Linked DNA regions of Drosophila melanogaster. The protein of the gene in region 4 interacts with the protein of the main gene of each other region in a pairwise test. Each region holds a gene or a part of one and is shown on either strand. Other genes may lie near its edges.

Region 1 (6,440 bases), on a different chromosome or scaffold from region 4:
TCGCCAATTGAAAGATCAATTAATTGGCCGACTATTTGGCATCGCAATTTGAGCGGATTTTGCTTCTGCTATCGCACACAAACACACACACCCTCACACCTGGACACGCACACAGGGACAAGCCATAATAATTGTAGATAACTGGGCATTTATCTAACATTTTTCAGCAGTTTTCCGTATTGGGCTGGCTGCCGCGCGTGATTCCTCCGCTATGGATTCCGATTCCGATGCCAATTCCAATTCCAATTCCGAATCCGAGTTCGATTCCGAGTCAGCCTGCTCTCGATATGGAGAACTTAATGATGGTCCGCTACTGGTGGTGACGCTGCTTATTGATCCTGGTCGACGGACATCGCGGTGGCGGAGCAGCGGACTTCAATGTCGATTTCGATTCGATTTGATTCTAATTTATGGACACGGGACGGGCGAAACGCACACCACCCCCCGAGCACACCAACACACCAACACCTTTCCGCTGTACAGATTGCTTACAACACACACACGTTGCGTTGCTGTTGCTACTTTGTTATTGCTTTTGCTCGCCACTTTTGCGAACTGCTCATATTTGTTGCACACACTTTCCGCTGGAACATGCACTCCACGGGATCAAAACACTGCACTGTACTTTCGATTTACTTAGCTATTTCCTTTTTTTTTACACGAGTGTGAAAAAAAAGCAACGAAAATCGACCGTGGAGTAAAATTTTTCGATAGATTTGCGTGAGCGGATAGGGTTGCAACCGCAGCTCCGGACGCTCTTCTATCGATGCCATGCGAGGGGCGACAGCCCTGACCAAAAAATTTAATATTTTTCTTTAATTGTTTATAAATATGCAAACAACTGGGTGGAAACACGATTTCCAGATCCCAAATGGCACACGCTTATATCTACGGTCAACGGGATGGTTTCAATGTGGTTTCTGGTCAGCCAGAGGCAATCCCGCATGTATAGACCCACAATGTTGTTACTTTTCGCCCAACGGACAATTAAGCATACGCGATTGCATTTAAACGATCGCCTTACGCGGAGTACAAAAGGCACACGGGCCGTGATGCAGTTACTCCGCGAGGTTATAGTCGACCCTCTTTCTGAGTTTTTTTTACGCGGAGAATGATTCAAAACCGAAACACATCGCTGCCCATCGCCAGAACTGCAATTCGCAGTCGGAAGCGTAACAAAGGCTGCGGATTTCTTGGTCAGCTCATCCGGAGGATGTCCGGGTGTGAAACGGGTGCAGAGGGCAGTTACTTACCATAGGGTACAGTTGCTTCTATTGGAGGCGGTCGTTTCGCTGAATATTTTGAATTTAAATCACTTTTTACCCGTACGAACACACACTTTTGAATGGCCACAAAAAAAACTGGTATGTGCTGCCAACTCGACGCGAATAAAAGTATAAAGGAACGTGTGCCGCGCAAAGCAGTGACAAACAATCGGTATATTTGTCATCACAAACTTTTTGAATTCTTAAAGAAATTGCCATTTAATTTTTCCAACCCGACTTTAATATTGCCGCGCTGATTTTACGGCTATTCTGAGCTGTTGTATTCCTTTAACAAGCAATGACCACCATGCAAATTCGATCTGACCACCCTTTCGATAGTTATTCGATCAGCAACAGCTGATTGCACCCTACGGAATGACATATCCTATTGCTAGGGATTTTGTTGGGTAAAATTAACGTACTTCAGAATTGGCGGAGAATACAGTGTTTGCTAGCCTATAGTGTTTGGTTGTTACCTTAAAAAAGCTCTTTGGCTTGTGTTCTTTCCCCCGTTTGCTACTCTAAGCGCTCTATAAAAAAACACTCACCGAACGGAATTAGTAGGGCATTCGGCGGTCGATGCCACCGCCGAATCAGCCCTTGTTGTGATTTTGCGTCAACGTAGCCGCATTTGACTTCCACACATCCCACATCCACGCTGGCTATGGAACACTGACCATGCCCATAATTGAATTAGCGGCCCTGATTGATTGACTGTCCCACGATGCAGCAAAAACCCCGAAACAACGGCTATCCGGGCACCCTCATCTGCGCGGTCCTCCTCGTCCTGCTGTCCACCGGTGTCAGCGGCCAGAAGCAGTATTCCAAGGCAAGAAAGTTGGAACTGAGGTGGGTCATTGCTAGGGCTAAACTCGGACATACTAATCCTAACCGGCAATGAATCTGCAGGGAGGATGTGCGGCGCATGTTCCAGCACGCCTACGATGGTTACCTGCGCCACGCCTCCAACTACGATGAACTGCGTCCGCTGACCTGCGATGGCCACGACACCTGGGGCAGCTACTCCTTGACACTGATCGACGCTCTGGACACGCTGGCCACCATGGGCAACTTCACGGAATTCCGCCGCGCGGCAAGACTGCTCGAGGAGAAGATGGATTTTGACAGGGACATCAACGTGTCCGTGTTCGAGACAAACATCCGCATCGTGGGCGGGCTGCTGTCCGCGCATCTGCTCTCCAAGCGTGCTGGCGTAGAGCTAGAGCCAGGATGGCCCTGCAAGGGACCTCTGCTGCGACTGGCGGAGGATGTGGCCCGACGATTATTGCCAGCCTTCGTCACGAACACGGGTATGCCTTATGGCACGGTGAACCTGCGCTATGGCGTGCCCAAGGGCGAGACCTCTATAACCTGTACGGCGGGCGTGGGGACATTCCTCATCGAATTTGGTACCCTTAGCCGGTTGACCGGGAAAACCATCTACGAGGATGTTGCTATGAAGGCGGTACATGCTCTATGGGCATATCGCTCGCCCATTGGACTTTTTGGCAATCACATCGACGTGCAGAGCGGTCGTTGGACCGCCCTCGACTCTGGTATCGGAGCAGGAGTGGATTCCCTTTTTGAATACCTAGTTAAGGCATCTGTCCTGCTCAATCGCCCAGAACTCTTGGAGTTATTCCATGAGGCTCGCGCGGCCATTGATAAGTACATGCGGAAGGAGGACTGGTACGTGTGGGTAGGCATGAACAAAGGCCGCGTCACCCTTCCCGTCTTTCAGTCCCTGGAGGCGTTTTGGCCCGGCATCCTGAGCATTATTGGCGACACGGAGCCGGCCTTGCGCACCATATCACGGTACATTGGGGTCTGGAAGAAGTACGGCTTTCTGCCAGAGTTTTATAACATTGCTGCTGGAGAGGCATCGCCGAATCGGGAGGTGTACCCCCTGCGACCGGAGCTAATCGAGTCAGCTATGTATCTCTATCGAGCCACAGGAAACGAGTATCTTCTGGAGTTTGGTGAGCACATGCTGGAGACCTTGGAGTTCAGTGCCAAAACCAAATGCGGATATGCAACGGTGAGAAGTTCTGTGAACAAGCTTTTTAAGAACTTAAAATTAATTAATATATACTTGCATTATTTTCCAGATTCGCAATGTTGTCACCCACGAAAAGGAGAATCGCATGGAGTCATTCTTCCTGGCGGAAACAAGCAAGTACCTTTATCTGCTGTTTGACGAGGAAAACTTCCTGCACAACGATGGGTCCGGAGGCGAGCTGCTGTCAACCGAGGATGATGTATGCGTGGTACAGGCCGGTGCGTACATCTTCAACACAGAGGCTCATCCCATGGACATGTCAGCCCTCCACTGTTGCCACGCCCACAACGAGGACATCTACACCTCTCTGGATCTACAGCGGTTTAGTCCACGGGCGATATTAGAGAGGAGCAAAAAGCGGCAGGTAGCTGTTCAGGAACAGTGGGTGCCGCAGTGTCACCCAGAGAACAACGAGTTCTTTAATAAAGAGGATGAGAGTGTGCAGGCGCAGGACTCTGAAAAAGAGCAGGAACGCGAGCAATCCGGCACAAGCACTACCATGGCCGTAGATATTGAGGTGTTCGACGAATTTCAACAGCCCGCCGGCGATCTGTTAGTAAGCAACTTCGAGCAGATACGCGAGGAGCGGGAGCTAAACGAGAGCCTGCACAGAAACGTGGTGGCACGAAACCAGTTGACAGTCAGCGATTTGGATGAATTCTTTGCTCAGCGACGGGAGAGTTTCGCAAGCGCCTCCGAGGCTCTTAACTATGTAAAGACCTTCATGGGCAACTATACCATGGATGTAGCCTTTATACGGGGCTTGCAACTGTACGATACTAATATGAGTAGTGTATTGGGCACAGGCGCCCAGAAAGAGTATGAGTCTCGAATGAGGACCCTTTGGCAGCTGTACGAACTGCAGCAGCAATATGTGGCCAACATCCGAGTGATTCAAGGATTAGGTTTGCTAACCTTTCCGGCGGACGGTGACCGGATACCTAGCCATTTGACAGAGGTGTTGGACAGCCTGGATAAGTCGGCTCACTTGGAGCATATGGATCTACAAGATCTCGAAACAAGAGTGTCCAATACCTCCTCGCCCCAGTTGGCTCATATAAGAGAAGTTATTCTAAAAGCACGTAATGCCTATGCCATAGCCATGGTCAATACTTCGGCCATGCAGGAATTTGCTATCCGAATCTACCTCAGTGGCACTTCGGAGGCCGGTGTTCGCATTCACCCACTTTTGGAAGACGGAGAACTAAGTGAGGAAGCACGTAAAAGGCCATTAAAGTTGGCGGAGGAGCGAGCCCTCTTCAGCTACGCCCGTCGAATAGTGGACTTTCGGAAACGAATGGCGGAGACAGTTGATCGATTGCAGACGCTCATGCAGGACATTCCGCCACCCAAAAGGAAAGAGGCCACTACCGACTCTCAGGCCGCAGATGCGTCCACAGTCTACACTCAAACCAAAGCCCAGATGGCGGCGCCTGCACAGCAGCCGGAGCCGAGCCAGGAAGAGAAGCAGTCGACACAAATTCAAAAAGGAAAGCTTGCCGAAAACGGCTCCGGATTGGGTGAAGAGGAGTCCGGCTGCGTGTGGTCGCAGTTGGTGCAGACCATCCTTCGGAAGACCACGGTGCAGCGGGTCAAATTTGACGAGGCCGTGCTCCAGGAAAATACGCGCAAGGCACTGGAGAAGTACGCCCGCAAGGAGTTACCCCACCATCTGTTCGCCTGCCACCGGCCGGAGTACATTGAGGGATTCGCCTATCGGGACTTTTATCCGGAAGCGCTGTAAGCTCGCAATCACCTCACCGACCAACACGACTGATCTGTAGATAGATATGTATGTATTTAGTTACTTAGGGGTATTCGCTCTGGTGACTGGGCAACCACATAGATAAGTCTCACGCAGATTTTATTCCCAACTGCTCTATTTCCGATGGCGATTGAAAAGTGGGCTGTTGGGCCCTTTTATTAACTTATTTTTGCAAAATTAAAAGACGTTTTTTCTGGTAACGATTTCGAACGATCATGGTATATTTTTTTTTTTTTAGCAAAGTTCGGCGTCGATGCGCGCATGACAATGAGCGACTCAATTGCAGAGCGAAAAGGACAGAGCGCTAAGCCAAAGCGGCAAGCGCGAAAGTACAAGATGAAGACAGCGCGAGAGGAGGGGAACTTAGATAACGAAAGAGAACCATCACCTCTAACGGTTTTCTGATATGTTGCCGATCATGATATTTGCAGTGCTGTACTTTGTACTTTTCTATCGTTTAAATTGTAAGCTATGTACATATATGTACGTACATATGTATGCAATTACCAAACCATTTCCAGGAATTTCAACTTCTTGTACAATCATGTTTACCAGCGATTTTTTAAAGCTCAGTTAAGATATGATAATAGAACTTCCAAAAATATGTATAGCTAAAGAACCTTAAGTGGTCCTACTTGTGCCGACAATTAATTTAATTAGCATATGAACCCGCAACTCTTGAGGTTTTCTCAATACCTTACCAAGGCTTAAACAAATTTATATCTGTAATAATAATGGTTCGAGTGCTTGTGTGCGTGTAAACTATTTGCGATGACTGTTGTTGGCTGTATTGTAATTAAATTGATTTATTTCCGTATTTATGTATTCAATTAGATTCGATTAGGCTAAAATTTACGACGAATCGAGAGAGTTGCACAACCCGAAGCAAATGTTGAGAATCGCGGCGGCCAAGTGCCGGATGTGGTGGCCACCTGCTCCTCTGCCTCTAGATAATTTTGTGGCTGCGATTGTTTGGACACGCAAAGGCAATCGCTCGAATGGGTTTATTTTCGGATATTGCTGTTTACTTCAGGGATTTGGGTTTTGGGCTTGTACTAAATTACGCCAACGACATGAATGGAGCCAGCCCTTGGGTGCTGGAAGCAGTGATGCGAAGGTATAGTAAGCTCCTATTGTTTACAATGTAGTAGTTAGCCTTAAAATAGGCGAGATAAGTTCCAGTTCCAACCAATCGATGACTTTCGCCTTCGGTACACTTGGTTATACTTCAACCAATTCCAATCTTGAATATAACCAGTGATCCGTCTCATCACTGGCTGACGTCCTTTTACTTTCTCTTGAGCCAATCGCATACATCGCGGACAGCCCACAGCACCTGCTGGGGAAATTC
Region 2 (4,057 bases), on a different chromosome or scaffold from region 4:
TCTGATCAAAAGACTCATAAAGCTTCTGGGACAGCAGAGCATTCAACATGGTAACGAGCCTCTTGTGTGGGAACTGGCCGCCTTGGTGGCCCAAACGCCACTGAAGAAGGCCGAGAAACTGGTAAAATCGTATCGTGCGTACACACCGAAGCATTTGGGCTGGGAAACCAAGTCGGAGCACGCTTTAAAAGCCCTAGATCTTTGTTTAGAGGTCTGCGATCTCTCAGTGGCGGCCATCACAGAGCACATTCAAGAGGAAAGTGAGGTAATGATTACCTCTCAACTAAATTCAGCCAGACTGGCGGGAACATCTTGTCTGAATGCTTTGAAGAGAGCCATAAATGTGGATGTATCGGCAGAACAGACTGCAAAAGTGGAGCAGCTGGAAAAACGCATCGAAGACCTGACAAAAATTGTCCAGGAACGAATGAATGCGTCTCGATCTTAGTTATACACTATATAAGGTTTTATACTATTTTGTAATTGCAAAACAAATAAAAAGAGTCATTTTTTATTGTACATGAAATAGTTTATTGCTGATATATATTTGTAAGCTAGTTTTGATTTGTAATATAATTCAGCTCAAGCAGATTATCCAGTTTTTCTGATTTTAAAAGCTATTGCGCATTAAGGATTTATTGTCTAGCAATAGGTGCAATGAAAGTGTATTCATAAAAATATAAACCTATGAATTAACCCATCATCCAATATCACAAGTATGAAGCATTTCTTTAATGGGTTTCTTTTGATGTCCACCATCTAAAAAGTGTTTAGTTTGGTGGTAATTAAAACGCGCACGCTTTGATCGAATGCTCCACAGACGGCTAGGCCCAGTTTGTCTGGATGCCAGTCAAAGCAGTGAACCGGCTGAGAGCTCAAAGTGGCTGCACTAAGCATATTAAGGGCTCCAGCAACTCCCAACTTGTTTCCATCAGAGTCATCAATGACCCTCCTGTCGGGATACTCGTACTGCCACAGGCGAATGGAACCAGTTCCGCCGCCCGTGAGAAAGAGATCCCGATTCTGGGGCAGATGACGAACTACCCAAACGGTGGCTTTGGGTCCGCTGATCACGCCATTTGTTCCCACGCTGCGTCCGGCGTTGCGTTCCTCCACGTAACTAAATCCCTTGGTCGGATGTTGGGTTCTCATATCGAAGACAAGGAGACCGCCCTCCAAAGTGGTGACCGCTAGCTTGTTCATGGGAATGTCCCGGCGATCGAACTCCAGTCCACAGATACCATTCTTCATGGTGGCCTCCCAGCGTACGGAAAGGGATCGCAAATCGAATATCTTTAGATCTCCATTATCATAGCCGGCGGCAACGATGCGCTCCTCAGCGTTGTAGGTATTTCCAAAGGCCACGGCCCAGCAGTCCCGGCGGCCACTGCTGTTGTTAACGCCATCGCCCATTTGCGGCGGCGGCGACATGTCCACCACAGGAGCCTGCCCCTGGCGGATATCCCAGACTTTAACGGCGCCGTCACGACTTCCAGTAACGATTTCCGGAGCACCGCAATCGATTTGTGTGCCGCCAATCGCGTCGATGGTGTTGATGATGCCGTTGTGGGCCTTTACATTGTAGACCGGAAGGTCCGGCTGCTCCATATCCCTGCAAAGAACACATGTCAGAGAAGCATCTAATGACTTAAGCGGGATTATGCTTACAGAACTTGCAGCCTGCCCTCGAAATCTCCGATGGCCATGTGGCGGTTCCTGAGCGAAGCTGCTCCGAAGGTGCCGCATTTGAAGGCAACCTTCTTCTCTACGGACTTCACTTTCACCAGCTTATCCTGGTTGAGTTCGTAGATGTCCATGATTCCGTGCCCGTTGGCCTTGGAGCCCAGAATCACAAACTTGGCCGAAAGGGGCACCCATTTCGTATCGTACACCGTGTAGTTGAGTGCCTCGTGGAGGTGCTCAATAAGCTGGGGCTTGTCCATTTCAACGATCTATATTTCCGTCTCAACTTTATGCTAATATTCCAAAAGCGGCCGGTGAAAACTTAAGGATTTATCAAAAACAAGTTGTTTTGTTGTCATGGCTATCTCTTCCTCTTTTTCAGTGTAGCCGTACATGCAGCGCCTGAAATATACCAATCAGCTGACGGAAATATACCAAATCTAATTTTTAAATAGATAAATTATAACATATCCACTAAAATGCAATATTTAAAAAAATAATAACGCTTAACGTTTGTAAAAAGTATATCCCATTACTATAGTTCACATTTTGTACTCATATAATCAAATAATTTAAAATTTACGAAATAATGTGTGTGTACGATAGTTATGCCGATACATTAGAAGGCATCGGGAACAGCTGTTAATGGTGGTAAGCTTAAAAAGCTTTCGCCACTCTGTGAGTTGAATACTTTTTTCTTCAGTTTTACTGGGTCAGTCGGACGCTGTTTTGCTTCTGTCGCGGATTTTCCACATATTTAGTTTTTGGCGCGAGCATCTTTTTTTGGCGTTCGACCCCCCAATAGCAACAACAACAGCAACAGCAGCAACAACTTCATATATAACGACAAAGAAACACTTTTACGTGTGTCGCAAGCGACGCTTTTCTGCATTAAAAAAAAAACGATGAGATATTAAACGTGCGGGGTTAAATAAGCGAAAATAAATATTATTGAAATAACAAAGCGCAGCTTATAGCGTTGGCTATTAATTTGCGGGCCTTTTAGCCGGTTTTATATAAGTGATAATCGTTTTGGCAGAACAAAAACTCGCTAAAGAGTGCTCAAAGTTTAGCATATTTGCGATGCATGCGCCAGAAAAGTGTTAATCAATTTTTTATTGGCAACAAGTGATACAACAATAACAAAGGCGCTATCAAAAGTTGAAGGTGCCAACAAATCGACGGCAGTATAGACGACTACAAGAACAACAACTACAGCAACAGCTGTACTCGTTGGCAACCGAATTGAGTGCCAACTAAAAATTAATGTAGTTTCTCAAAGGTAAAAGCCACAAAGATTCTTCCATTCTCGGCATGTTTTCACATTCATTTGTATTGCCCAACATTTCCTTACTTCCGCCGTTGCCTTTCGATTTATCGTCAATTTTGGGGACAATCACGTTAATTGTGTACTTTTCAGCTTTTTCATTGGCTTTATTGTTTCTGTGTGCCCTCTCTGTTGTTTTCGGTGCACTTGCACTTGACACACACTCATAGTGTATAATATTTAGTATATAAGCGTTATAGTACATCATGTATATAGTACATATGTTTATGTCATTCTTCCGTTTTGGCGACTTTTTGCCAACCTGTCGCATCGCCCGTTCGGAATACCCTATACTTATTGGGATTTGTTGATAAGCCCACCACGCTGGGGAGAACAAATAGTGAATGGAAACTAATTGGTTTTTTGGTCTGAAAAAAAAAAAAAAGTAAATATTATGCAACACGTAAAGTGCACAATTATAAAGGCAATTATTTCTACAAAAATTCCCCTTAACAGTCGACTTGGTCTTTTTGTAAAAATTATTGGTTATGAATACAGAACCAGATTTAAATAAATCTATAATTATATTTTCTTTCTGACAAATATAAAATTCTAGCTTTATACTTTCCCACAACGAAGCGAATAAAACTTGTGAATTACTTATCAATCAATCGGTAATTTACACAGATTATTTTTATACATTATCACTTATACGTGAACTGTAAAGATTGCCAATAGTCGTTGCCTTGGGCTCAAGATTAAAACCCTCCACTTTCACACCTGTTTCTAATTTGGGATTAAAGTTTTCGCAGCTAATAGCACGCAATAGCTGCAATAATAATCTATAGTAATAAATAGGGAAACTGAGGGATTAATGATAGCACTCATATTGTGCCGGGAAATATTTCATATCACGCGCCTATATTTAACTTGCATATGAGGAAGTATACGCGCACATACAGAAACTTATATGTATGTGATTGAAATGTAGAATATTTAATATTTATTTTCACAACTAATGTGTTTTAAAAATCTCTATATTTTAAATAAAACCTTTCTCGAAATAAGCATTACAGCATCGAGTTCTCACATCATTGTTGATCAATC
Region 3 (5,934 bases), 6.2 Mb from region 4:
CTCACATTTAAGATTGTTTCCAAACCAAAAAAAAATATATATAAGAGTCAAAACTCATTAAATACCTCAATCTTGATTCTTATTATCTTATTGCTATATTGGTTGTTAACTATACGTTTTGTCTAAGGGAACATCGAATTACAGGTAGAATTACATGACATAGACATGAATTTACAGATCAATTGTGTCTGGTTGACACTTTTGATAACTCTCAATTCAGAAGCGGATCGTTAAAGTCACGCAATATTACTATACTCAAAGTTGTTGCAGAAAGTGTTGCGGACAGTGCGGTACGTGTATTTCCATTTTCAACAATTCCCATTTTCAACTGTAATGAGGGTCGCTTTTTTCTGTTATTACGTGAAGTAGTAGTCATTAAAAGGCAAGAATGTCACAATTTGCTCCAATAAAAGTTATTGGCCAATAAACGAATAAAATAGTTACCCCAGACCCTAAGCATGATTGTTTTAAAGCTCTTTATTTATGATGAAGGACTTTCTTAAGTTAGGAATGATTCATAGGCAACATACAAAATACATGATATGATAATACGAGTAGAATAAGATATAAAGTAAGTTGTATGTAGATTTAATTGATCGAAATTATGCGCGCACGTCATGACATAAGTAATTTTCATTTCCGTTTTTTGAAAAATAGTCATCAAGACGTTTTTAATGATTTCTGTAAAGATTAAAACAACCATAGAGATGCATTTTTGCGATATAAAACTTATACTTAAGTTTTATTCAAGAACACTTTCACTTTTTCGCCAATCAATAATAAGCTATTTAAGTAATGTGTTAATGGAACTTAAAGAAATTCCTAGTAATTACTATCTTTAATTGAAAGTAAGATTTGTTGTTGGTAACAGGGTCAACTGCTGACCATTTCATACGATCCCACAGTGGGCCGATATCAAAATCAAGGCCCAAGGGTAGCAGACTCTCTCATAAGGAATGGTATTCGTATTTGTATTTGTTGCTCTGCTTCCAGATAAGATTGAAAAAGTGCCTATGAGCACCAAGAGATAAGGCACACTTTTGCTTTTGCGATAACGCACCATCGCAATTTCAGGCAATCAATTAATGAGCCAGCTGATATCGCCGATTCCCATTCCCTTTGGGCCAGCCAACGTCAGTTAGTTGGAGTTGGAATTCGATTCACAGCGGGTCGAGAGTTGTAGATCGGGTCGAGAAAAAAGAGCAAATAAATAAATAAAGAGCACAGTGGGCAGCACACAAGGTAACCAATCCATCGGTTCTTCTAAGCCCGTAAATCAACATACCAACGATATGTCTCAGACATCTGTATCTTAGGATCTGATGTCATGCCAGTGAAAGCAATAAATAAATCTCGAAACACGGCGGTAAATAATTGACCCACAATCACGGCCTAAAAATACGCGATTAACTCTTATATTCGAGTCCTTATGTAATAAGCTGCCATTAACGATTGCTTCATGAGCGAAGAATTTCCTGGCTTGTGATAACTGCAAAACAGAAATAAAGTAACGCCAGCAAACTGAAAAAGCAAAGCAATCGCAAACACAGTGCCAATTGCGTTTATCTAATCGGACAGGTAGCTACCACACAGGTGAAATAGGTACTCTCCTATGTACATATGTACACCTATGTACTTCTAAATGCAAAGGTATCTAATGGTAGCCATCTATCTGATTCGCATTGCCCATTGGGAATCAATAGTTTACCAGAACGCTTTGATTACACACCGCCGCAATGGTCAAAGCAGGCAATAGGACCCTGAAATACTTCCGACCCATTTCGGTCAAGTATGGGTAAATATCAAATATCAAGCGTGATAGACAGGAGGCTATCTCATAGATTGAAGCATTGCCAACACCTGTCTATCATATACCCGTATACTTAAAGTGCCACTTTGGAAATTTTCGGTGTTTTACTGTTTATGTTAGCATAACATTCAAACAAAGAGATCTTTTCGTCCTTGATCTGCATTTATAGTGTAAAAGATGCAGAACAAGATAGAAAATTCTTTACTATTGAACTATTAAAGTTTAACCTATTTTCCTTGTATTAAAAAGTGTAAGAGCAACTATTACTCATCGTCAATTACCTCTATGTCATGCATTAGTTGCAATGTAGTGTTATCAACAAAACAAAAAGAAGGGCAAAGAATTGCGCAGTTCATATTCTACAATATGTGCGCCTGAATGCCAAACTTTACATGGAAACAACCAATAAGTGATAAAAAAAAAAAAAACTATAGTTATTTGGAATGCCCATTTCCCTATTTCTCAGGATGCCACAAAACGGCTACGAAAATGGAGTCCCTGGCGGGAATCAGGCAAATGGGCACTACGACGAGGTCAAGCCCACCTATGCCCTGGAGCACTTGGCCACCTTTAAGCTGAAGAACGAGGCTGAGGTCAAGCAGCCGAAGGAGAAGATGAAGCTTCTGGTCGAATTGGAAAAGACCGGGGGCATTTGGCCGCACAAGATGTTCATGAGCTTCAATGGGCAGTGGCTGGTGATGCTGGACAGTGATATGAAGGAGATTGAGAACTTTCCGGGGAGCCTGATCACGGAGCCCACGGCTTTTATAAGCGATCATCCGCAGGAGTCATTCAACAATATCCTCATTTTCTCAGTGCCCGGAATCTCACTGGGCAATACCGAAATGCACATCTTCCAGGTGAGCAGCCACGATTTTTCAGCACTTTGAGATCTGTAATAATTAGATCATTAATAGGTGGCCGATGTCAGTTCCGTGCTCTTGGTTGAGGATCTAAAGACGGTGAGTTGAGTTGAATAAATAGATCCCCGATCTATATAATCCCAATACCACGATTTCTCAGCTAAGCAAGGGAACCCCTGTGACAGTGGATCGCAACAAGACGCCCATCCTGCTGCCCAAGCCGGAGAGGCCGCAGAACCAGCAGGCCAAGGATCAGTATGGAATAGCAGCTGCTGTGGCCGGAATAGCAGCCGAGAAGAATGCCATAGACAAGGAGCAGACCGAGAGGGATGTCCAGGTGATAAACCACTGCTTCGAGGACATCGAGCGGTTCATGGCCCGTCTTCATTATGCCGCCGAGGCGCTTAACGAGCTAAAGTTGCGCAAGGAACAGCATAATCCCCACGGTGAGGGACTTTTGGTCCTGAGATCGCGACCACCAATCGAGAGCGAGTTCCATGACATTTTGGCCAAGGCGAAACTGGCCCTTATATACTCCGTTCGGCTGCAGAACCAATTCACCAAGCCCGCCGATCCGGTGCACAATGTCTTCATATCGCTTAAATCCATCGTCACGGTTTGCAACGATATCTACGTGGATGCGGGTCTGCCGCAGGCGGTACTTAATCCCCTCCTGCGCCGTGAGACCATTGCCTTCCTCAATGGCACCCTCGACTCCAACGAGATGCAGCTGTGGCAGAGCCTCGGTCCCAACTGGACGGTTCCCAAGGATCAGTTCAAGGATCACAAGAGCTCTTATCATCCGATCTTCTACGACGATTGGTCTCCCGATTGGGTGGTCGATGAGGAGGTGCCGTACCTGGCTCCTGCTCTAAAAAAGAGCACAACGCCTTCGCCAGTGCCGGTTCCCATGCCCCCGAGTCCAGGTCTAGGAAATCGCACCTGGCTGAGTAGATTGGAGAGCCGAAATGTCAAGATCGCCGAGGTTACCTTCAATAAGTCGGCCACCAACGATAAGGAACTAAAGGTTACAAAGGGAGAGTATTTGGAGGTAAGTACCTAATAATAATCGAAAGGGGTTTTAATGTCAGTTCTTATCATTCAGATCTTTTAGCCAAATTTATCCCAATTTCAAGTTCCTTTAATTAAGATTTGCACAACATTTAAAACGACTTGCTTTTTTAATCGTTCGCTGACGTATGAATGTATGTAAGAGGCAATTATTTTGGGTTACAATACAGTTTTGTAAATATATAGGAATGTCCACGTGTGAGAACTGAATGATTTGAAATCTTATAAGGCACAGGTCTTTTACTTTTATATTAATCTTTTGTTTTGGAATGTTACTGATATAAAAAAGCTTTAGATAAGTATTGGTTGTGAAGATATGAAAATTCATTGCCGGTAATATATATGATTCAATAATTTTAAATTCAGGCATTTGAGATGTCTTACCAATGAGAGGTCAGTAACACTATATCAATACAAAAACTTTGAATGCAATTACTAAACATTGATTATATTTTTAACTTTATACCATGTTTACTATACATGGTACCAATCTTATCGATTCCCCAATTACGCGATCTTACCTTCATATCACCATGATAACAGACCTTATAATAACTATCATATAAATCGTCTGATTCCAAGATTATCGATGACTCCCGCAACTGGTGGAAGGCCCGTAACTCGTACGGAAACATTGGCTACGTGCCGCACACAGTGCTCACGCCGTACAACTTTGAGCCCGGAGTAAATGGCCGGGACACGGAGTCGCTGGCCTCAATGGCTTTGACGGAGAACGGCGGCGAGGAGGCCATTCCTCCTCCGCTGTACCGCAACACAATGGCCATGTATACCGCTCCCGTGGAGCAGCCGGCGGCCAATGGCAAGGCCATGCAGCGCACCTTCTCGATGCCCAACGTGCCCGTTCCACCACCGATGCCTCCACCGAGCGATAGCCAAACGCCCACGCCCAGTGGCACACTCAAACGCAACATGGCGGCGGCAGGAGCACTAGCAGGTGGGTACACTAGTAAATTAAAAAAAATAATACAATATAATAATGATATTTGTATTTATCTCATTCGCTTACCAGCCATGCGGGCCCGCAATGATTGCGAGGCAGATGATCAGCTCTACTACATGCAGGGCGACGTGCATGATGAACTGCGTCTACTGCAGCAGCAGCGAGAGAGGCGCAAGGACCTCGAGATCCTTAAGACGCCGGAAATCTTCATCACCCAGAATTCAAAGCCAAGCGAGGTGGAGGAGTGGCTGCGGGGCAAGGGATTCTCGGACATCATTATCAAACGATTGCACACGCTATCCGGCGAGGAGATCTTCGCCCTATCACCGCACACCATCGAAAGTTACTTTGGCCGGCGGGAGAGTCGCCGCCTCATTTCCCAGATCGTGCTGCAAAAGAATTTCTGCGAGGTGAGTTCTTGGACATATCCTCACCTTATCTAATCTAATCGAATCCATTCCAATATCCAATTTTGCAGTACAAAACCATTCGATCATCGGAGCTTTCTGCCAAACTGGCACGTGCTCGCCAAAAGGCCGATCAGTCCAATGGCAATCCCAACGAGGTCTTCTAAGACTCCCAGTATCCCGAGTTTTTTAGCCGGAGACCAGAGAGACAAAAATGCTTCAGATGCCATTAATTTATTTATGTGTAATAATCCTTCATTTATGTTAAACAGTGTTCATACGTATATTAAAAAAAAAAAAAGACAAAAATGGGTTTGATTTATATGCATTTAGTGTTAACATCTCGAATTGATTATAAATGTAATATAGATACTTTATTTAAACACAAATATTTATGAAGTGAAGAAATCATATGATTTCCTGTTTAGAAACTTAACTTCCCTAAACTCAAAAGTGGTATGGCATGATTAATTAGGCAAGAATATGTTTATCATTACAGGAAACTTTGAGAACTGGTTATGGAACAGTCCTAATGAAACGCTTATTGGTTAACCCAGATACCTTATATGTCGAACTCCAGTTCGAATTGCAGACTTCAATCAAAAGACTTACGAAATAGCCGAAATGAATTGGTTTTTTCAATAAACACGATGTTCAATGTTATGAAGAAGTAATAGACGTCGATTAAGAGTAATAAGTGATAATCTTCATAAATTCTGCTTCGTGAGTGCATCCTAAAAGTCAAGTAAGTGGGCGTTTCAAACCGGTAGGGGCGTGGCGTGTTATTTACCTTTTTTGTGAACACATTGCGGGGGAAATAAG
Region 4 (6,489 bases):
AAAGCAGAGAAAATAAAAAAGAACATATAAGAACTAGAAACAGAAACGTAAACCATATGTTCGTGATCTCTCCATTTAGGCAGTTTTGTCTGCCTTATGATTATGGAAGTAGTCGATTTTACATCACAAAAATGATGATATATGAAATGATAATAAGTAAAGAATGCATCTTGAAAATGCTTACTACTTTCAGATTATTTAACGTGGGATCGTGGGATTTACCCAGAATAATTTCTATTTTGATTAAATGGATTCTCTAGTGCTTTAATCTAAATAAGACTATGATGTGAGGGCTTATTACTAACCGAATCTGTTTTTCCAGTGACGATGATGTGATGGATGTGATTGAACAGTGTGTGATATAAGTCAATAGAAAAGAATAGTAATAATCCATAGAAAGATGGATGATGACAAGCGATGTAGGCGATAAGGATGAAAACCAAATACTTACACGAGTTACTTTCTCGACCGAGGGGTACTGAAAGTAATACAAAATAGAGCAAGTCATGTTTTGGTTCAAAAGAGTTGACAACTCTCATATATTTCTTGACAGAAACGGTTTAGATTTCCTTATCCTAATTTGTGTCTTCAGTATGAATATCGTATCGACCTCTATATATGTTCATTTCAAGAAAATATAATGCTACGTTCATTTGAGATAAGACCGTGTTTATTTTATTGTATCACAAATATGTTTTAACATGACTTCTTGAAGGTTGCAAATACACACAGAAATTGTTGATCTTGTTCGGTTAATCTAGTCTATATGCGAAACTATTTGGGCATTAGTGGTGATTAGTCCAAGTCAAAACGAAAATACATCATCATTGAAAACTTCGTATACAAATATATATATATATATATGGGCACTCAAGGTTAGCGGGTTAAGTGGATTATTTGCAAAATGTATATATTTATATATATATATAAATTCAGAACAATGACGTATTAGTGGGCACCATAACATTCAAAGCCGTGGACAGCCAACGCCGATCCTTTGACGCTGTGCGTCTCCTACACGTGGTAGGAGAAGTGGCGGTACTTGGTGCCGCCGGGCAGGTTGCCGCTGGTGGTCGAAGAATAGCTGTAGCCACCGGGTCCGGCGCCAGTGGTGCTGGTCCGCTCTGTGCTGTAGTTGTACGAGCCGCCGGGACCGCTGCGCGACGTCTTCTCCACAGTCGACGTGTACGTGGAGCGCTCCGGGCGGTACGAGTGCGGGTTGCTCGAGTCGTAGCTGCTCTTCTCCACGGACGACTTCGAGGTGTACGAGTAGTCCGAGGAGGCCCGGCTGCGGTGCGAGCCCGGTCTGTCCGTGCACAGGTCTAAGCGTGGAGTCTATAAATTCCGATTTGATAGTGATATAGAGATAAGGTTTGGTTTGGTTTTGGTTTTGGTTTCTATTTCGGCATTGGCAGCACAAGCATCATAAAAGGATTAAACTTGCTCCTGCTGCTCCACGAACTGCTGTATGCAAATGGCCAAAGAACGCAAGGCGACTCAATTGGGGAAATTGAAACATGTTCGAACTGTTTTACTTTAGAGTTAAGAGCTTAATGCAACCATCTATGCACACAAATGCTATGAGTCTATGAATGAAACGTTAGATACATGGGTACACAGAGAAAAAAGCACTGACCGTTTGTAGTTGGAATCTCATTGAACAATTTCTATAGAGCGTACTGCTAAAATGGAAATATTTCGATTACAACGTATTCTGGATAGAATGTCTAAAAGTTCTACTTTTTCTCTGTGTAGAGTAAAAACTTGTTCAGTGTTTAGTGGGTTAACACAAGATTATATGGACTATGGCTAGACTATATGTAGGCCTATCATTATTTTGAATGCATTTTCAGTTTTTTTTTTGTCTGTTTTAGTTGGTTATGTGTCCTTAGATACGACTAGGTTCGTTCGACTAGGCTTCGATTGGGTTCGGGTTATCGGTTGGGTGAATAGGATGATGCTCCCCTAGTAGGAGTACTTGGTGACCATCGCGCCCGACCTCTCGTTGCGGTAGGTCTCCCGGCGAACTGGCAAGGACTCGGAGACGGCGCGATGGAGTCGCGGCAGCTGGGCGTCCAGACTGTCGCGGAAGGTGCGGCCGGCGGTATTGCCACCCGCCTCCACGGTGTCGATGTGCTGGCGCACCATGCCCAGGATCCGCGTCCGGTTCTTGTCCCGGGTGGAGACATACGGCTCAATGGGCTCGTAGGCCAGCTTGTAGTCGGGCTTGATGGAGGCCCGATTGATCGGATCGAGGATCGACCGCTGGCGCCGCTCGAGATCGGGACGCCGCACTCCGAAGGCGGTCACCGGATCCGAGATGAGCGACGGCCGCGGCACGAACGGAACTTTCTCCCAGTCAATTGGTGTTCTCTTCGTTCTCTGTAATGCCCAAAAGTCCACAATTTTGTTTTTAATTTCTGGGTCAGCCGGGGATTAAGCTGTGGCTCAGTGGTTAGGTGGTGCAGCGAACGGGGATCTCAACTGGGCGGTGCGGTGGGTCAAAGTCATATGTACGAGTATATACAGTACGCGGGCGGGGCATTTATATACAGCTTCGTTGGGGCAGTAGTTGAGTTTGGTATCAGATCGCAGTGCTGGGTGGGTCAAGCTGTATCCAATAACATCGAACATCCTTACATTATGACACAAGATGCATAGCTACACATGTGTCTGAACCCTAGGGTGGACCTGCATCTCTTTTGGTTTGCACAAGCCTTAAACAGATATTACGTATACGCAACGTTGCTTGCACAGTTGGGCTGCAGAAAGCTAGCCTACTTAACAGGTTTCTATTGAAGTGCAGTAATGAAAATTTAGATTTTGTTTTTCCAAACGGTCCACCCTAGTCTAAATACACATATGTATATATGCATATTGATACGACGTAGTGTGGTTGTGAGTAATGTGCAATGGGAGCATTAAGATGGAACACAAACAGCAAACGTATATATATTTACAGCAATTTAGCCAAGTTTATTTATCAATTAAGCCAGTTACCCTACATTCTAACCCTAAATACCAAAAATTAAATCTCAATAAAACGTATTTCATAGATACACATCAAAGTAGATTGCCGTTTTCATTCATCGAATCATCAAGTTATCACTATAAATTATAAACAGCGAGTGCTTTTCAAAATGTATATGCATGGCACACAGAAAGTGTCCAGACAAGATGGATCTCTTGGGGATTCGATGTACCTACATATATATCCTTGCTTTGGATTATCATCACATTGGACAGTCGAAAAAATGGGCATTTTCTTATGTTGTTCCCTCTAATTTTCGAATATTTTGCGTTATTTTGTTGTAGTTGCTTGCCATGGCATCGGTTTATTTGAATATATTATGGAAATCGGAAAGATATTTTTAGGACCAGCAAAGAGCGAAATGCGCGCGCATATAGTATTACACATACAAAAAGCAAATCCACGGCCCGTACAAAAACAAATTATCGAGAGAGCTGTGGCTCCGTATGAGTTTCATCGCGAATTCGCATGTGTTTGGAATTCCACTCGCCCATACATATGTATATATTCTAAACATTTTTGGGCACCAGACCATTAGACCACCAGACCAGACGGACCTCAGCATTTTGTAAATAATAATAAAATATAGAGATAGAGAAGAAAATGTTCGGCCTCCGCTAAATTCTTAGTTCCCAAAATGTATTTAGCGTGTTATATTTGGGAGGTGAGTAAACACGTATATCCGAAAGAGATATGAAGATCATTGCACAGCAATAAATTTGCTGAAGATTCAATTCCCACGATCGCGCGAAAATTGCAATCTTTTCACACTCGCATCGTTTTGTCAGAATATTTTGTCACATATTTATTATTTCGGTCTGGTTTAATTATGGTTAGACGACTGTGCAGGCACATAACTCAGATATACATATGTAGTATTCAGTGTAGTACGAGTACACCACAACCATTGTGTGAGAGTTATTAAATTGTTAGAAATAGGCTTATGTATGAATTACTACACAAATGTTTACACTGAACCTGAAAATGCTATATATGTACAACATGGGCAGAACGTCTAGGTGATCATTAAATATAATATCTCTGAGCACAAGGACATTCCGTTGCGAAAGACCAGCTAGTTAGGTACTGTAAGTTCGATACGATATTCATAATTGGTAGACACTTTACATTCAAACGTGTTTCAATTTCTCAAGTAATCTGCTCGCTTCTCAGAATGATACCATTGAGTACAGCAAGTGGGACACAAGCGCTTAAAACTGAATTCTTGTGACTACAGATTCGATTAGCCATTAGCTAAGTGCTAACAGCAAATAGTTAACTGCTTTCAAATTTGTCAAATTTATCCTCAGCGTTTTTTGCAATCACAGGTTAGTTTATTCTTGAACTGCTTAAGTTTCGAGTTTGGCAACTGTACGCACAGATATATTTCACAGATTTAAATCGAGGAAAACCACACTACCGTATGTCAAGTAAAGTTCAGATTCTATTTCGAAGGGCTTACCGTAACTGCGTAGGAAGTTGTCACCGGCCTCGAGGAGTAGGTTCTGCGGGTCGTAAATCCACTTTCGTAAACCATGTTGAGATTTTTAGATTTGGATGCTTTGAGAGTTTTCAAATAGAATTGTTCGTTGGATTTTGGTTCGGATATATCGTCGTTGCGTGTTGTTCACTTGACGCCCGTTCGAGTTGATCTGCCTGAGAATCGCACGGAGCACTTGCTTATAATTTTTTGATTTTCAAAATTTTCACAGCCTTCGATCCCGCTCTCTCTCGCACGTTCGGTCCATACCTCTTTCTCTATCCATCTCCCAAATGAACTTATTTTTGGAATTAAGAAACATTGACATCTCTCCTCGCAAAAGAGCGAGCGAATTCTGTTTACATAAAGCCAGCACTTTTCATACAGTTGCGTTCGGAAAAGCCTATATACACATGAAATGTACCGAGTCTAGTGCTCCCAGGATATAGAGCCCTTATCTGCGAAAACAGACGTCACGGATTTCTTCCAGAACTTTATAGATAAGATTAGAATCTGTATTTAGCATGGGATATGACTCGAATTGATGATGATGGCATCTGAAGATGGAGGAAAGGCTAATATTTGGCATAGGCTAAATATGGGTCGATAAACATCAAAACATTCGGCGGATTATTTATTTATAAATCTGCCACAAGAATTTCTCAATATAATGAGCAATTATTGATTATGGTAATTTCAATATTTTTACATTTAATTGGCATTTAGCAGTATGATTACATGTAGACATTAATAATGTTTATAGCTTAATTCGTATTCCCATCATTCAAAATATCAGCATTCAAAGCATCACCGTTGTTTAAAGATTGATTAGCCAAAACTGATATGAATGAGCTTGGCATTTTTTGAAACAAATAAGGCGTGAAATTAAAATCCTGAGAGCAATTTATGGTCAGTGGGTATCACCTGTGGACCGGACACAGAGCTTTCCACACAAATAGCTGGATATAAATTATTAAGAAAATACAAAAATGAAAATAAGATAAAAATAAATGTTGTTTTCCAACAGTTTGAGGCCAGATTACTCATACCATCTTACAATAAGATCGGAAACATGTATTCGTGAACATATAAATAAACTGCACATCATCCTATACCCACATTTTAAATCGGGTGTGTAGGTGTTTGCTTGTATATAAACAAAACCATGGCAGAAATTCAAAAAAACCAAATTCTTTATGACATTAACCTTAACGAGAGGCAATGAATGATTCGTAATTTCAAGGCTGCCGAAGTCAGCCTAATCGGCGAACAAAAATGTCATTGAGCACTGACTTGGAATTTAGTGTTTGCTTTGTATTAATTAGGTGTTAATAGACATTGAAAAATTAGCAGAAAATAAATTGGCGAAAAGGATTCAATATAGCGAACAAATCTTCTTTGATTAAATGAAAAAGGTGGCACAACATTTCTGCAACATGTTGATTTTCATAAATCTATAAAGAGGTATTACTTTAGGTCTGCAACTTGAAAAGGTTTACTAATTGTCCATAAAAGTATTCGTGTCTGACATAATTCATTCATTATTTTAATATGAGGTGATATATGGAGGTCATTGTCTGGCGACCCTGACGATGTTGAATCTTTAGATCTGTAAGATCTTTAAGAGATTATTTTTGAAACTATGCATCTAAAAAATATGAATGTAAAAGACCTTATTCAAACGAATTTAGTATTAATATTTCTTGATATGCTTATTTAATGTTTAATATTACGATAACTTACAAAAATTTATTCAGCAATATACGTTTAGCTTATAAATATCAATGTAAGAGCCCATATATTTAGGCCCGTTTGAATATATATACGATATAAAACGAGCGGCAAGATGTCAGTGACTTAATACCAGAAATCTCTTGGTCGGATGCCCCTCATAATGATGCAAGTGGCGCAGGTGCAAACACTTCCATGTGTCTCCGTTCCCAAGTCGCGATTTTGATCCATTGGAGTACATAGATAT

The links.
Region 1: the proteins of fau (region 4) and Edem1 interact in a two-hybrid assay, tested with the Drosophila melanogaster proteins (one large-scale study listed by BioGRID).
Region 2: the proteins of fau (region 4) and Wdr92 interact in a two-hybrid assay, tested with the Drosophila melanogaster proteins (one large-scale study listed by BioGRID).
Region 3: the proteins of fau (region 4) and CG8907 interact in a two-hybrid assay, tested with the Drosophila melanogaster proteins (one large-scale study listed by BioGRID).

The regions. Positions count from the first base shown.
Region 1 is NC_004354.4:1,903,169-1,909,608, reverse strand, and holds Edem1 (ER degradation enhancer, mannosidase alpha-like 1), read left to right. Parts: upstream 1-1,629; 5' UTR 1,630-1,989; coding exon 1,990-2,114; intron 2,115-2,174; coding exon 2,175-3,303; intron 3,304-3,373; coding exon 3,374-5,064; coding exon of another isoform or gene 5,065-5,068; exon of another isoform or gene 5,069-5,287; intron 5,288-5,327; coding exon 5,328-5,397; 3' UTR 5,398-5,905; downstream 5,906-6,440. Other genes in the region: mip130 (Myb-interacting protein 130), read right to left, coding at 1,254-1,256.
Region 2 is NT_037436.4:17,906,140-17,910,196, reverse strand, and holds Wdr92 (WD repeat domain 92), read right to left. Parts: upstream 2,055-4,057; 5' UTR 1,944-2,054; coding exon 1,669-1,943; intron 1,613-1,668; coding exon 760-1,612; 3' UTR 514-759; downstream 1-513. Other genes in the region: CG5290 (uncharacterized protein), read left to right, coding at 1-448.
Region 3 is NT_033777.3:17,007,134-17,013,067, forward strand, and holds CG8907 (uncharacterized protein), read left to right. Parts: upstream 1-1,696; 5' UTR 1,697-1,736; coding exon 1,737-1,795; intron 1,796-2,276; coding exon 2,277-2,670; intron 2,671-2,727; coding exon 2,728-2,772; intron 2,773-2,833; coding exon 2,834-3,724; intron 3,725-4,326; coding exon 4,327-4,699; intron 4,700-4,774; coding exon 4,775-5,115; intron 5,116-5,183; coding exon 5,184-5,279; 3' UTR 5,280-5,400; downstream 5,401-5,934.
Region 4 is NT_033777.3:10,772,684-10,779,172, forward strand, and holds fau (fau), read right to left. Parts: upstream 4,692-6,489; 5' UTR 4,569-4,691; coding exon 4,494-4,568; intron 2,383-4,493; coding exon of another isoform or gene 1,966-2,382; exon of another isoform or gene 1,336-1,965; coding exon 1,015-1,335; 3' UTR 514-1,014; downstream 1-513. Other genes in the region: CG45076 (uncharacterized protein), read right to left, coding at 452-478, 4,494-4,568; CG45078 (uncharacterized protein), read right to left, coding at 1,966-2,382, 4,494-4,568. UniProt on the Drosophila melanogaster protein: Plays an important role in the regulation of tissue responsiveness to oxygen deprivation.